Caenorhabditis elegans: one gene and its partners. The protein of the gene in region 1 purifies or fractionates together with the protein of each later gene. This does not show direct contact. Each region holds a gene or a part of one and is shown in the gene's direction. Other genes may lie near its edges.

Region 1 (3,922 bases):
GTCGGACACAAATGTTTTTATGCAATTCTTCACAGTTTTCATTAACATTTTACATTTGATAGTTCTATTTCAAAAAGAGCTACGAACCGGTGCAATTTATATTTTGATGATCGGAATTTGTTTGGCAGATATTATCGGTTATTTACTTGATTTTTTCAACGTTGCCTACGAAAGAACGTGGATTAGCACAATTCCGTTTTACACCAACGTTTATTGCTTACGTTATGATTTGGTTCGAGTTAGTTTTGTAGATTTTGTCAGTATATTTGTGCAAATGGCACGACCAGTTGCGGTTTGGCTGGCAATGATGATGGCGTTGATCAGAACTTTGTCTGTATTTTTTCCCATGAGCATTTGGATTCAGAAGCTTGCGAAAGCAAAAACTGCAATTTTCATGAGTGTAGTAGTGTTCACATTCTGGATACTGTGGTATTCATCCCAATATTTTACTATGACATTACGCTGGTACCCAGATGTCTTGAGTAAGGCGTGAGTTGGCTTTCGAACTTGCACATCTGAAAGTTCATTCATTTCAGTTGCACTGATTACGAAGAACATCGCAACTTGACCCACTACGTTCTGGTAGTTCCAAAAGCTAGCTTCAGCCTAGTCTTTAAGCGTGAAAAACTGGAACCTTTCATTCGCTTTATTCCAGCCATCTTATATCCAATCTTAACAATCACATTACTAGTTCAACTGAGAATTATAAAGAAAAAACGAGAAAGTATGAATAAGAACTTGTTGAATGATCGATCAGATAATACAACAAAGCTCATTCTTTTTATGACTTTATTCTTTATGATATCGGAGGGCTTGGAAGGTATCGGAGATTATATCCTTCAAAAAATTCTAGCTACCCCTAACTATCAAGATTCAATGGTCGACGTAATGTAAGTTTTATATATATTCTTGTGTAATTATCTGCAAAACAGTCCGCATGGGATTGCTGGAAATTTTTTGCTGAAAATGACGTCATGCGTCGTAGCTGAAACTTTTTCAGATCAGCGCTTGGAGTGGCTCAATATTTTTATACAAATCTCCGCACATTAAATGGAATATCTCATGCATTCATATGTTTTGCAATGTCCTCGCAGTATAGGGACACAGTGAAGAGAATGCTCTGTTCCTCGAAAAAGCAGCGACGAGGACAGGTAGATTAAAGATAAATATTTCGATTTAGAAAAAAACTTCTTTTATTTCAGAATATACTGGTCATCTCAACAGTGTCGGTTAGCAGCTCACACAATTCCAGTAGATCAAGGACATGAACGATTTTAATTTTTGCTATATAATACTATGTATTTCTTAGTTTTTTAATTGTTTCAAATTTCTTACAGAAATAACACGTTTATACTCGGTATACTTGGCATTTTTGAAATTATTTTGTCAGTTCGACCGATTTACAGTAGTCTGTTTTGTATCGTAAAAAATTCATTAGAGTTATCGGAACCTAGACTGGTTCAAAAAGCTATTTCGAATCTCACAAGAATGGGTATTTCGAATTACGAGTAATTTGTGATTATGCTTTTAAAAAAGTAGCCGTCATGTGGAATTTTTTTAAAACCCTTGCCCATTGACACTTTACCGTCGCAAAAAAATGCTAGGATGCCTCAAAGCAACTGACATTATTAGTACTAGAAACTTCTTGGCGCAGGAAAAACTACCTAATAGCATCGGGAAAACTGAAATTGCTTTGAATGTTACCCACTTTTTCACGTTGCCAATAAATACGTGATTACTCAACTCCAAATAAAAGTTCAAGGACAAGAAAGCAATTTGGAATTCACGCCAACAATTAATCCTAGACAGCATGTTATTAAGCATTGAGCTTTTAATGGTCATATCCCGAGTTACACTTTTGCATAACATTTTTTTTCAAATTTCCATATCTTGAAGTCAGTCCTTTAACTTTGACTACCTTTTTTGCTTCGATTTGAATACAATGTACTATGATGAAGAATTTTATTCTGAAGATTGTGAATTTACAAACCTTTATGACAATTTTCACTGTGCTGATATATATAAGAAAATAAGCATGGTACTTTCTGATATTAACATTTGCCTGCAGTTCTTTACTGTACTCATCAACATTTTACATTTAATTGTTTTGCTTCAAAAAGAGCTGCGATCTGGTGCAATTTATATATTGATGATTGGAATTTCTGTGGCTGATATCCTTGGTTACTCACTTGATTTTTACAATGTCGGCTTTGAAAGAATGTGGTTTGAATCAATTCCTTTTTATAAGAATACTAATTGCTTACGAGGTGACTTTGTGCAAGTCACCTCCGTTAATATTCTCAACATATTCGTGCAAATGGCACGGCCCACGGCGGTTTGGCTAGCGATGATGATGGCGTTAATAAGAACACTGTCAGTATTTTTTCCGATGAGCAATTGGATCCAGAAGCTTGCAAAAGCTAAGACTGCAATTTTAATAGTATTAATTATGTTTACATTTTGGATACTTTATTATTCGTCACCGTACTTCGAGATGGAATTTCGATGGTATCCGGATATTTTGATTAAGTCGTGAGTTGGATTGATTTGTTTTGTTTGAAAATAGTTCCAGCCATAATTTAATGATATAACAACGGTCGGTCCTTTCCAAGAAGTGGGCAACTCATACCTCCTTGTTTAGTCCTTGTCCTTTTCTTTTTTAGGAGGTATATGAGATTGTAGTAAAATTTTTTTGTTTATTTATTTAATTGATAAATTTATCAAAAGTAGCATTTTTCTTTTCAGTTGCTATAATTACAAAGAACACCTCAATCACACCTACTACGTATTGGTAGTTTCTAGAGCAAAAGACAGAAATATGGATAAGTTTAATAAAATAGATCTCATCTTTCGGTTCGCTTCAGTTATTTTATACCCAACTCTAACTATCACTCTACTTTTGCAATTGAGAACAATCAAGAAAAAAAGACAGAATATGAATAAAAACGCGTTGAATGACCAATCGTATAAAACAAACAAGATGATTCTCATGATGACTATATTTTTCATGACTTCCGAGGGTCTTCCTGTCATTGGATCATATATTCTTGAAAACTTCATCTTGTCTAAACTAATTTACGAAGAGTCGATGACTGATATTGTGTTAGTTTTGTTGAAAATTTATATCGGTAGCCTAATTTATTTCCAGATCACTACTTGGACTTTCACAATATGTTTTCTGGAATCTTCGTACAATGAATGGAATTTCTCATGCTTTCGTATGTTTTGCAATGTCCTCACAGTATAGAGAAACTGTGAAGAAAATGTTATGTATCACGAAAAAGCAAGATAGAGGACAAGTGGGTCTCAAACAGAATACCATATTTTTCAACAATTTTTATTCAGAATATATTGGTTATTTCGACTGCGTCTGTTAGCTCGCAGAGTTCAAAAAGGACAAGGATGAAAAATATTTAAACGTTTTTGCTAGAGTTCTATTTTGAAATATAAACTTTAAGATACTTACCTATTAGTTTTATTATACCATTTTTCTTACCTCGAATCTAGATGAATGAAATAAACTAGCTCTGAATTTCTTGATTTTGTGGCTTGAAAAAACTTGGCCTTCAGTATTTCAGAAAAATGGCGAGAAATTCGAAAGTTCAACTTACAAATTTGTTGACGCGGATTTCCAATGAAATGTTGCTATAGAAAATCTGAACGCCCAAAACCCTTTTAGCCAGTTCAGGAAGTTCTGCCTATGCCCCGGGTATAAGGTATTTGGTTTTTGAATCAATTTTTTTGCAAAATTCGGATAACACTCCATCTGTTTTTTTGTCTCACAATAAAATTGTTGATGGTCTTTGGAACTTGGCTGCTAAGCAACAACAGATTTGGCCATGATATTTGTTTATTCTTGTTTCACACCCACTCTCCTTCTTTGCTGAAAAATTAATAAATGTTTCGTTTTATAGCTCAGAAG
Region 2 (4,462 bases), on another chromosome or scaffold:
TGACAACAACTGCATCGAGGAATATCTGTTCATTTCTCATATTTCGAATGTAGATTTTGCGTTTCTGCGCGGTACCGACAGAACTGAAAAAAAATGCATACTTGGAAGGTTTTTTAAATTAATCAAAATTTTTGTTATCATACTTAAAATGGCCCCAAAATGTCGAATTTCATAACGAGACATTCCAAAAATTGCATTTTTTCAAAGTCTCGTTATGAAGTTCGATCTTTTGAGTATAATTAAAAATTATTCACTTTTGCCCAAAATCCATCATTGGTGGATCCATCTCCATTGGAAGTTTCCCTTTTCCAGACAATTTCAACACGTTGAATGTTTTCGTCGCATGGTTCTTGTTGGCTTCTTTCGGACAATTTCCTTCACAAACTCCTTTAATTGAATCATAAACTGGCAATTGATGCACATTTTCGGGTCGAATAGGATGATTGAGATAGTGAAGCTCTTCACCGATTTGAACAAATGCGGTATGAAGAACTGGAATCTCGTGAAGCTGGGATGCGGACACTTCTTCTGGAAGAGGCCATGCCTGAAATTGATTTTTTAATGTGAATTTCTGAGGCTAAACCATACCTGCTGATCTGCAAAAGTTGAAGTGATTAAAAGAGAAATTAGGAAGAAATATATCGTCCGATATCTGTTTGAAGTTTTGTGTATTGATGGAACCATTTGAGCATTTGGTAAATTGAGAGTTTCTCTGAAAAAACGAATAAATTTTTTTCTATAGGTTTTCTGAGTAAGATAATTAAAAAGCACAATAAAACGGAAATCAGTTTTTATTGCTTATTTTTTGCTTATTTGCTTATGCAACATGGATGATACGTGGAATTGAACGGCACTAAGAGATTTCTCCAGGGAAATAAAAAAGTGAGAGACAACGGCAAAGGCGACGTCGACTTCAATTGGGAAGGATAACTGGGAGAAGAGATAGTGTTTGATTTGGAGAGACCCAGTATTCGGCATCTTGGGAAGAAGAAGATACAGTCGTCGTGAGACGCAGAACAAATAGGATCGATCGATTTTTGAGGGAAAATAGAGATGTTGAACACGTCATCACACCATTATAAGAGAAAGAAGAACGAAGAAATCTGGTTTGGAAAAGTGAAGAGAGAAAAAAGAAAAAGGGCTTTTTTCGGTGAAAAATGAGTGGAATCAAGTGAATAAAACAAAGACAAAGTGATAACCATCTGTCATCTAGGTCAAGGCAGTCAGGAAAAAAGTCTATAGCTGTCAACCGCAGGCTAGTTTTATTACCTCGGGTATGAATATTAATGAAGCATTAAAATATTGAGCGCTTGGATTTACATAGAATTTAGAAAATCAGAAAACAGTCTTTATTTAGCAGAACAATTGTGGAAATTATGGACACATTTTTTTTGTAATCAGAAAATGATTTTCTTCGGCTATTGTTGTTAACAAACACGCGAAAAATAGAATATTTGACAGAGTATACTATAAATATCAAAAATATGTCTTAAATAATTCCGAATATGCAAATTTCTGCGCGAAAACGTTCAAAACTGACGATTAAAAACCAGAAAAACTACAGAAACAAATTACAGTTATTTCAGCCGTGTGGAGAATCCTCGGCCACGGCCACCAGAACAATATCTCCTGACTGCAGTGACTGGTTTTCCGATGTTTACACTGCTGGAAGTTACTTCATTGTTCTTTTGCAAACAATTTCGCTTGGAAAATATTGATTTAATTTAACTTGAACGTAAATTGACTTTTAAATTGATTAATGAGTAGTTTTATAGAGGGTTTTGGTTACTGTAGCTTTAAAGGCGCATGCTTGAAAAGTTTTAATGAAGGAAACTCTTCCATAATTTGCAAACATTTTCACTTTTGTTTTTTAAGCCGTTTTCTGCTGAATTCGTCTTTTTATTATGAAATTAAAATTGTATTAATTTCAGAAATGATTTCATTCGAGGATTTTCTCCTCCGACCATCCAAAGTCGTCGATCCATTCAACAGATTCGTCGCAAAAATTGATCCATTTCTGACTCTTGTCGAATTTTGCCAAGTTATCGGACCAAAACCACTAGCGGTAGTTTCTCAGCGGCCAGATGATAAAAGTAAATATTTATACACAATTTTCTCGAATAAATGCTAATTTTCAGTCCGCGGAGTTGACATAAACGATATGGCAATCTGGTTGATGTCGTCTGATACTGTTCCGGGTACAATGATTGTGTTGGAAAACAATCAAACGGGTGTATATGCGGCCGCATATTATTTTAATTTGTACGACATGAGAGCAAGAGCTTTTCAAAGAAATTTATGCATCGCCTATTTATGTTCGGAGAAGCCAACAAAAGAAACTTTGAACCTATTCTCATCAGCTATGAAAAAATTAGTTTCACCAGTTTTGATTTGCAATCGACGTCTGTTTATTCGCCATGTCACTGATATTGTCAAGTTTTCGGACAGTGTTGGTAAGTTTTTTTTCTTCGATTTTTTAAACAAATTGTTACCATTTTCAGATGAAACCACCCTGAAACAGTACTATACACTGAATGGAGATTCACAAAAGTTGTCAGACGGAAGCAGATTCAATGTAGTTTTCGAGCAAACCAGGCTTCTAAAAAGCAAATTTTTGACGAAAAGATTTCAAGAAATGGCTTTTGATGGTGAACAAAACGTTGAGACTTTGATTTAGAATTATATTTCAGATGACATTTGCTGTGGTCACAATGCAGAAAACATGAACGAAGCTGAAGATATTATTTGCTCATTCCGAGTTCCATCAATTCCATTGAGTCCTGTGGAAACTCTCACTCCATGTGTAAGATTTTAAAACCTTTGTTGCCTATAAAAATTAAATTATACAGGCGTATTCATCCATAATTCCAAAACTACGCCAACTATGCTCCGAACTATGTTCATCAGGAAGCCCTAATAGAAATTCTACTCATGGAGCTCTTTTCTGTGGACACCGTCCCATCGCAACTACATCACCAGCCGCCACTACAACTTTGCCTTGGAACACTGATTCAGGAAAATCTGATAATGATAAAAACGGAGAAGAAACTCTAAAAGAAGTAACTGGACACCTGGGAGATGTCATATTTCCATTGCTTTGTGGAGAAGATTTGGTAGTTTGTGGAGCAGAACAGAGAAAGAGTACTGTAGAAGATATGCTCGGGAAATTGAGCAGAGTTGTTCCAAGAGAAAGTGCTCGGAATGTAGAAGAAAATATCAAAATCGAAAAGGATCCAAATAGGTAAATAATCAGAAAACATTCAATTCTAAAATTTGGTAATTTTTCAGAATAGGCAATGGATTGGGCGGTCTGCTATGTAATAGAAATGAGACCGGAAAATTGGCAAGATGGAGAAATGTTCTTGATATGAATAGGTAATAAAAATTCAAAAAAAAAAAAATATCGGTTTCAGAAGTGCTCTCAAGACGTTTACCTACGATGGATCATTGCTAGCTGGTCTCAATAAGAAAAGAAAGTGAGTAACATTTATGGACTTATTTCCTTATCTTGTCAAACAATTAAGTGCAAATAAGGGGATAAGTTCAGTTAAGATATACACTCTCCTAACAATAAACGCCTTTCAGGTTCCCATCTGATCGTTCCCTGGTCCTTTTTATAATTGCCTATTTGACAAATATTTGTCAGCTTGCATTCATCTGTCGATATATGTTCATCAAATCTCCGAACTCTATCGAAAAAGCATTGGGAGATCAGCAGAAACTGAGCTCAGACGACGAAAGAATATTGATCAACTTGCTGATGGGAATCGACTTCGAAAAATTCAACCAACTCAAAGTATCATCCAAAGACGGGGCAAAGCCGAGTAGAACCATCAATTTGTGATTTAAAAATTTGAATATTTATGAAACAATAAAAAAAATCAAATTCAGTCTGATACAATACAAGCTGTCATTGAAACAAAACATAATTATAGATGATATGAACAGTAATTAGAAGAAGGAAAATTTTAAAAATAAGGACGACAGAGCATTGATTTACGACAATGCATTCGGAGAACTTTCATCTTTTGATGATATCCTGTTTCATTTGGTTGATTTCAGCCCAAAAGTCTGCCTTGTCACGATTTCTAGCCAATTCAGCCGCCTTCTTGAACTCTTCAAAAGACTGCTTCAGAATGGCGAGCTCTTGACGCAAATTAGTGTTTTCCGCCACGAGATGAGCGATTTCTTTTTCATGTTGTTCTAAAACTCGGTCATCTTCTTCGTCTGGCTCTGTCATTGATCGTTTTGACTTTTTATAATGAGCCTTTGGTTCAGTTGGCCAGTGACAGATGATTTCTGGTTTATCAATGTCCGGGATTCTCACTTTGCACACCTGGAAATGTAATTTTGATTAACGAACGCTTTTGTTAATAAGAAATCTCACCATATATTCTGAATTATTGCATTTCACGTACATGTTCGAAAGAACAAGCTGTAAAATAAAAAATAACACTCGAAA
Region 3 (6,391 bases), on another chromosome or scaffold:
ATTGCCAGCAAACGTAGATCATAGGATATTGTTTGAAGCTCGAAGGGAAGATTTTCAAAATGTTGCTGAAAATAATTATATTATTTTCACAAATTATCTTGTTTGATATTCTTACCGGATAAAGCCTCATGTGTAAGTATAAAATCTCATAAACACTCAAATAAACTCCAATAAAACATGCTTGACGAATCATTTCATTTTCTCGTTTTACGTGTGACAAAGATATTGACGAGGCAGTGCTCTTCCAGCGATTTCTCAGATATTTTTGATAAATTAGAATTCCAGAATTGACTACCATTGACACAATTGGAACATAAATAAGAAAGTTATTTTGAAATAAAGTGATTGGATGACGAGACGGAGCACATGCTGATTCGTGGTAACTGGTCAAAGCATTGAAGTTTAATGAGCAATTTGAAAAATATGGAATCAGAAGCCAAATGGTAATGAGAATCTGCAACTCTTTCAGGGTATTATAGGTTTCAAAATACTGTAGCCTACCGTAACCCCAGTGCAATACACAACAACCTTCGTGTCGCTGAACCATTTTGATGATTTAATCGGTGATATGAAAATAGACATCCTATGGAAAGTCATTATCCAATCCAAAAATAATGGAGCTAAATAACAAATGGTGAATAGCAGAGATACTTCTGTTCCAACAGCATGACGATACTCTGAAAATTGACTGTGGAGCTTATGATTTCAAAACTGTTTCAGAATTCAGATCAAGCATCTTGCCAACTCACTCTGATATCCACCATTAGGCTCGATCCATTCAGAAATAGGCCAGGCGTCTACCATTAGAAAGTCTATCAATTTTTCCGAAATTCCAAAAATTGTCATAAAAATAATATAGATAAAGGGTCCAGATTGGGAAGACATTTTCAGTTTTAAAACTGAAAATAGCAGAAAGAAGTCAAATATTAAAAATAATAAATTGAGAATTGAAAATACCAGCTGAGCTAGATTAACTATCCAATATATCATTTTGCGGGGTTTGAAAAATAGAAATAATATCACAAATCAAAATATTCAAACTGTGAGGTGATCAGTCGAGCAAATGCTTCTGCTCGAGTGCATGACAAATTTGCTTTAGAACTCAACACTGACGAGAAAAAGTAGAACTTTGTTTTTCCGCGCACATTTTCCTGAGAATCTTGGAGAAAATGTAAAATAGTGACACATTCTTACGTGGGAATATCAACAAGCAGTATACTTTATTTTAAGAAGCAGAGTAAAAAACTGATCTTACGGACAAAGATTGAAATATTCGTTCTAGATTTTTGATAAAAAATATGTCAGCAATCTCTTTCACTTTTTCGCATTCGGGATAAGTTTTCGATGTGTAAATCAGGAGCCTCACATCATTGGCATCACAATGTGCACTGTAAATTTTAGATTCTCCGAGAAAAGTGTCATTCTGAAAATTGGACTTTTTCTCAAAATCATACAAATTTTGCAGGTAAACAACTCAAAAAAAAGTAAAGTAGGAAAATGAAAACTCAGCTCACAATCAGAATACAAATAAAAAGTTAAGCCTACTCTTTGACAATAAAATGAAAAAAATCGAAAAAATTGGACATTACGTGAAGACAGTTGCGAACAAGAAGAATTTTTTGGAAAAAAATCGCTTGTTGCTCTTATTTTAGTCCTAGTGATAAACAAAACATTTCATTGATTATTTTCGATTTTCTAGTGAAGTGATTTCTCCGGTAATGCAAGGTGAGCAAAGTTTGTTCATAAAATCATGCATGTTTCATTTGATTTCAGATGAATAAAGCTATTAGTATACTCTTTGCAATTACCTTAATTTTTTGTTTCAATCGACTGTTAGCGTTCTCAACATCCACCGAAGAAACCACATTTGAAAGTGATAGTGAGTTGAATTTTCTATTTTCATTTCACTTTTATCAATTAAACATTTTAGTAAAATCGCCAAATCTCGAAAACTTCATGAATGATGTTTCCACCTTGATTAATCTAACGAAAGCAATATCAAGTCAAGCACGTCTTTTCCATGATTTCGATCTGGAAACTTCTACATTTTTCAAAGCAACGCCACTTGATCTACAAGCATTTCTTGCTCTTCAACCGAATGAAACGATGGCAGCATTCACAAAGTTTTACAATGAAATTCGAAAGGTAACAGTCCCGTCGAACGTTACAGAATTGAAGACAGTAGTGAACCACTTAGTTATGCTATCTTCGTTGGAATCATATTTTCACCGAAAAAAATTTTCCCCGAAAAAAAAGTTCAGTCGTATATTCGGAGATTTGAAAAGTTGAAAAGTAAGATGCCAAATCCACCTGATCTAAAACCACCCGAATTTAAATATTTTGATGATATCGAATATTGTCTATCGAATGACATTGATAGAACAAAATTATCATTTTGCTTTGCTCTTTTCTCCGACGGAAAGATTGAAGAATTATTCAAAAAAGACATGGATCAGCTCAGCAAAAGTCTCGAATACAAAAATGTCGTCAAAAAGTTTAACGAAAGGCACTCTGATATAAGTATATTAGATGACATTATTGACGCTGTTCAAGAATTTACCGTAAATGGTGAATTTGTAAAATCTTCTGCTTCGTTATTGAGAACAATCAGTCAAAATCTTGTCAAAGTTAGGAAGGCTTTGAAAAAGAACAGCAAAGGTGTTGGTGATGGTATGAAGAGGACATTATTTGGCGAAAAAGTTAACCTCTATGAATCAAAAATTAAAGAAGTTGCTGGAATGTTGAGAGTATTCAATTCCAAGTGGCTGAAACATGTACTTGGGGATGAGAACACAAAGACCCTTTATGATGGACTCGAACCTATCAGAAATCATTTGAAAACAATGAAAAAAGTGAAGAAGATAGTTTTAAAACATCCGGATAGCTTAAGAGCAGCTTTATTGATGTCAGTAAAAATCAGTGATCTGGAAAAGTGGAACGATTTCGAAATATCGAGTACTATCATAGACGTTGTGGAGACTTGCGTTGTTAATTTGCCCACATTCACGAAATCTTTTGATTATGAAAAATTTAAAAATATATTCATTCATATGGATAATCTTGCCACTGAACTACATAAATACATTCGAAGAGTACGAAAAATAATAAAGCAGAAAGATAAAACCTTGGATGAACTGAAGAATATACGAGTAAAAGTTAAGGAAATCATGAAGTCCGATTCTGGAAATTGGCGTCAAATACAATCCAATTTATATAACAAAATAAGTCCAAATGATACCAAGTCTATCAAGAGAATGTCCGAAAATGTCACGCAATTGATAAGTGATTACGATGGAAGTGAATTTGTTAAGAGTATCATCAACGCTCCGTCTCTTGATTATTTGAATGATGTTTTATTAGAAGTTAATGTGACAAAAGCTTTTACCATTGGAAAATGTTTGAGAACTGGAAACTTTAAATTAGGAAAAATAAACAATAATCTGTTTAACCTTCTTAATTTTGAATCATTCAAATCTCCTGAAACAGAATCTGCATCAAAAATGGTTGGATCTTATATGGATGACCTTTCTAAAATTCTGAAGGCGCTGAACTCTGCTAGAGACAATACATTGAAGAAGTTAAGTGATGAGATCAAGTATTTGAATAGGTTCAATCAATCCGAAGAAATCAATAAACCTTTACTTATTGGAAAAGAAGCAATAGAGGAACTGCATATTAACCAGAAAGAGATGAATCTCCTACGAAGTATGTTAAGTTCAACTTCTCATTTCAATGGCAACTTCTGGAAAGTATGGGAGTCTCAAGGCAAAAAGAAATTAAACGAGACTATTGAAAAAATGAGCAATTTGAATTATTTGATGGGAAATCGCGTGAATAATGACATTTCAAGTGTTGCGATTGTATTTGACGAAGCTGCGACTTTTCATGGATTGGTTGGAGTTTTCAAAAATTTCGATGAATTCAAAGAAAACGTGAAACATTTAAAAGGAAGTCAGAAGATAATCGAACAAATGGAAGGAATTAAAGCTCTTCGTTTGGATTTCACTTATTACCACAAAGAACTCAAAGCTGCTTCAGAGAGTGTCACATTTCTTAACAAATTTCTTGATGAGCTTTTTGAAATGGGCAGGCATGAAACAATTTGGATACAAAATTCAATTCCATGGTACTTCATTGTTCTCATCATATTTGGATCACTTGTTCTTTTCATCATTCTCTTGATTATCTTGTATTCAATAACTCCAAATGGAAGAAGGAAGTTGAAACGATTTTATTTGAATCGATTTGCATCAGAAGCAGTTACAAATTTGCACTGGAGATATTCAGTGAGTTATTATTCAATTTTCAGTTCAAATAAAATTAATTTCAGTTCTGGATTGATCAAGAAGCTGATAAAAATGCATTATGTGAAGCTGTTAGAGAAATTAATTTCGATCAAGTGAAGGTATTGGTAGATAAGGGAGTGTTCATTAATGTGTACAACAGTAAGAAGATAATCAATCAATTTTTATTTAATTTGATGTAATTCCAGTGTTTGGAAATACTCTTCTTCATGCTGCTGCGAAATATGGACACGTTAAGATTGCTGATTTTCTCATTCGGAATGGTGCTGATAGAGGAGCTTTTAATGTTGAGAATAAGACACCAGAACAAGTATTGGCTGAAAGTGTGCAGGTAAGCTAGATTTTATATATTTAAGCTGTAGTTTCTTGCATTGCTCTACTTTGACGGCTCATATATCGGTTGTCGTTGGTTTCATCAAAAATGTGTAACATTGAAGCAAAAATTTGCCATTTGATAGTTTTTCATTAAGCCAAAGAGAACTGAAATTTAAATTGTCAAAGTGGAGCAAGGGGGTCAGTATTATTTTGAAATACGTTAAATGTTACATTTCCAGACAACAACCAAATTTCTAACATTGACTAGTCCTACCAGTGGAAGTGAAGGAGTAACAAAGAGTAAACTGACAGAAATGGGAAATCTGACGGATATTGAGAAGATTTTTGAGAAGCACAGAGGAAAAGTGTTTAGACAGAGTGAGTTTATCCATCCTTCAATTAATGTAATTTGGGAGTATTTATTTCAGAACTCCCAGAGCTACTTCCAACTATGTCGTATCGTATTCGTATTGATGCTCAATTGACTGGTATTACTTACGAATCATTCATTGAAAGGTACAAAGGAAATGTGAGTTTATGTTCGTTTTGAGTTATCAGTTAAACCCAAAATTTAAAGGTGACTGATCAAATGTCGGGTGTAACTCATTTCATTGTATTAACTGATGCTACTGGTCTTTTTGAATCAGATGATTTTGGTTACATAATGTGCATTTTCTTGCCAACATTAATCATGAAACAGCAGTGGATGAATGACTGTTTGAAAAAGAAATCAAACTTCCGAAATGATTATAAATATCGTGTGGAAAGAGTGAAATACAAGGGAGTCGTGTATGAAACAGTTTTGAAATGGGCCGAATGGATTCACAAACAAAAAATTCCTTTCTTGTTTGGAGTACATTTCCATGTGGCAATCGAGAAGATGTCTGAAAATGAGAAGATGCATTTGAAACAGTTGGTTGAAATGCACGGAGCCACATGGATGGATCAGATGCCAAACAAAGCGAATTTCAATGCAGGATCCCACCCATTCCACCATTTCCATCTCGGACCACTTTTCATTATCCACGAAAAGAAGGTATGTTGCGTAATATTTAACTTGACAAATAATTAATTCCCAGTGCATTTGCTTTCTAAATTCGATAAGAATTCGATTTTTAAGTTATTTTTTCCAGAATAACATGGAAACATATAAAAACGTGACGGTGATGTACCAAAAGCCGAAATTTATTTCAAATGGTAGTTCAATTATTCCTCATCCAAAACGGTAGTCACTGGAATAGGAACCTTTCGCTCTGGATCATAGAAGCATTCCAACTTCAACATGAAAATAATGAATTGATCATACGTCATCAGAGTGTACATCTTGTCGTTTTTATATGTTTCCATGTTATTCTGGAAAAAATAACTTAAAAATCGAATTCTTATCGAATTTAGAAAGCAAATGCACTGGGAATTAATTATTTGTCAAGTTAAATATTACGCAACATACCTTCTTTTCGTGGATAATGAAAAGTGGTCCGAGATGGAAATGGTGGAATGGGTGGGATCCTGCATTGAAATTCGCTTTGTTTGGCATCTGATCCATCCATGTGGCTCCGTGCATTTCAACCAACTGTTTCAAATGCATCTTCTCATTTTCAGACATCTTCTCGATTGCCACATGGAAATGTACTCCAAACAAGAAAGGAATTTTTTGTTTGTGAATCCATTCGGCCCATTTCAAAACTGTTTCATACACGACTCCCTTGTATTTCACTCTTTCCACACGATATTTATAATCATTTCGGAAGTTTGATTTCTTTTTCAAACAG

Evidence for each region. Proteins that work in one complex are often made in the same cells at the same time.
Region 2: the proteins of srw-16 (region 1) and smcr-8 fractionate together in Caenorhabditis elegans (co-fractionation; one large-scale study listed by BioGRID). This does not show direct contact.
Region 3: the proteins of srw-16 (region 1) and F56D5.9 fractionate together in Caenorhabditis elegans (co-fractionation; one large-scale study listed by BioGRID). This does not show direct contact.

What each region holds. Positions count from the first base shown.
Region 1 is NC_003283.11:15,272,878-15,276,799, reverse strand, and holds srw-16 (G-protein coupled receptors family 1 profile domain-containing protein), read left to right. Parts: upstream 1-1,942; coding exon 1,943-2,532; intron 2,533-2,745; coding exon 2,746-3,102; intron 3,103-3,148; coding exon 3,149-3,299; intron 3,300-3,345; coding exon 3,346-3,417; downstream 3,418-3,922. Other genes in the region: srw-17 (G-protein coupled receptors family 1 profile domain-containing protein), read left to right, coding at 1-489, 537-890, 1,001-1,151, 1,203-1,268.
Region 2 is NC_003281.10:4,997,450-5,001,911, forward strand, and holds smcr-8 (Guanine nucleotide exchange protein smcr-8), read left to right. Parts: upstream 1-1,925; 5' UTR 1,926-1,933; coding exon 1,934-2,093; intron 2,094-2,138; coding exon 2,139-2,453; intron 2,454-2,501; coding exon 2,502-2,648; intron 2,649-2,690; coding exon 2,691-2,803; intron 2,804-2,849; coding exon 2,850-3,241; intron 3,242-3,288; coding exon 3,289-3,375; intron 3,376-3,413; coding exon 3,414-3,476; intron 3,477-3,585; coding exon 3,586-3,844; 3' UTR 3,845-3,919; downstream 3,920-4,462. Other genes in the region: tmem-131 (Transmembrane protein 131 homolog), read right to left, coding at 1-83, 255-544, 589-684; R144.10 (Coiled-coil domain-containing protein 25), read right to left, coding at 4,022-4,336, 4,388-4,435.
Region 3 is NC_003282.8:9,417,889-9,424,279, reverse strand, and holds F56D5.9 (BRCT domain-containing protein), read left to right. Parts: upstream 1-1,771; 5' UTR 1,772-1,773; coding exon 1,774-1,879; intron 1,880-1,930; coding exon 1,931-2,145; intron 2,146-2,261; coding exon 2,262-4,286; intron 4,287-4,330; coding exon 4,331-4,445; intron 4,446-4,492; coding exon 4,493-4,635; intron 4,636-4,858; coding exon 4,859-4,997; intron 4,998-5,047; coding exon 5,048-5,148; intron 5,149-5,196; coding exon 5,197-5,655; intron 5,656-5,752; coding exon 5,753-5,848; downstream 5,849-6,391. Other genes in the region: srxa-2 (G_PROTEIN_RECEP_F1_2 domain-containing protein), read right to left, coding at 1-65, 116-454, 502-677, 750-885.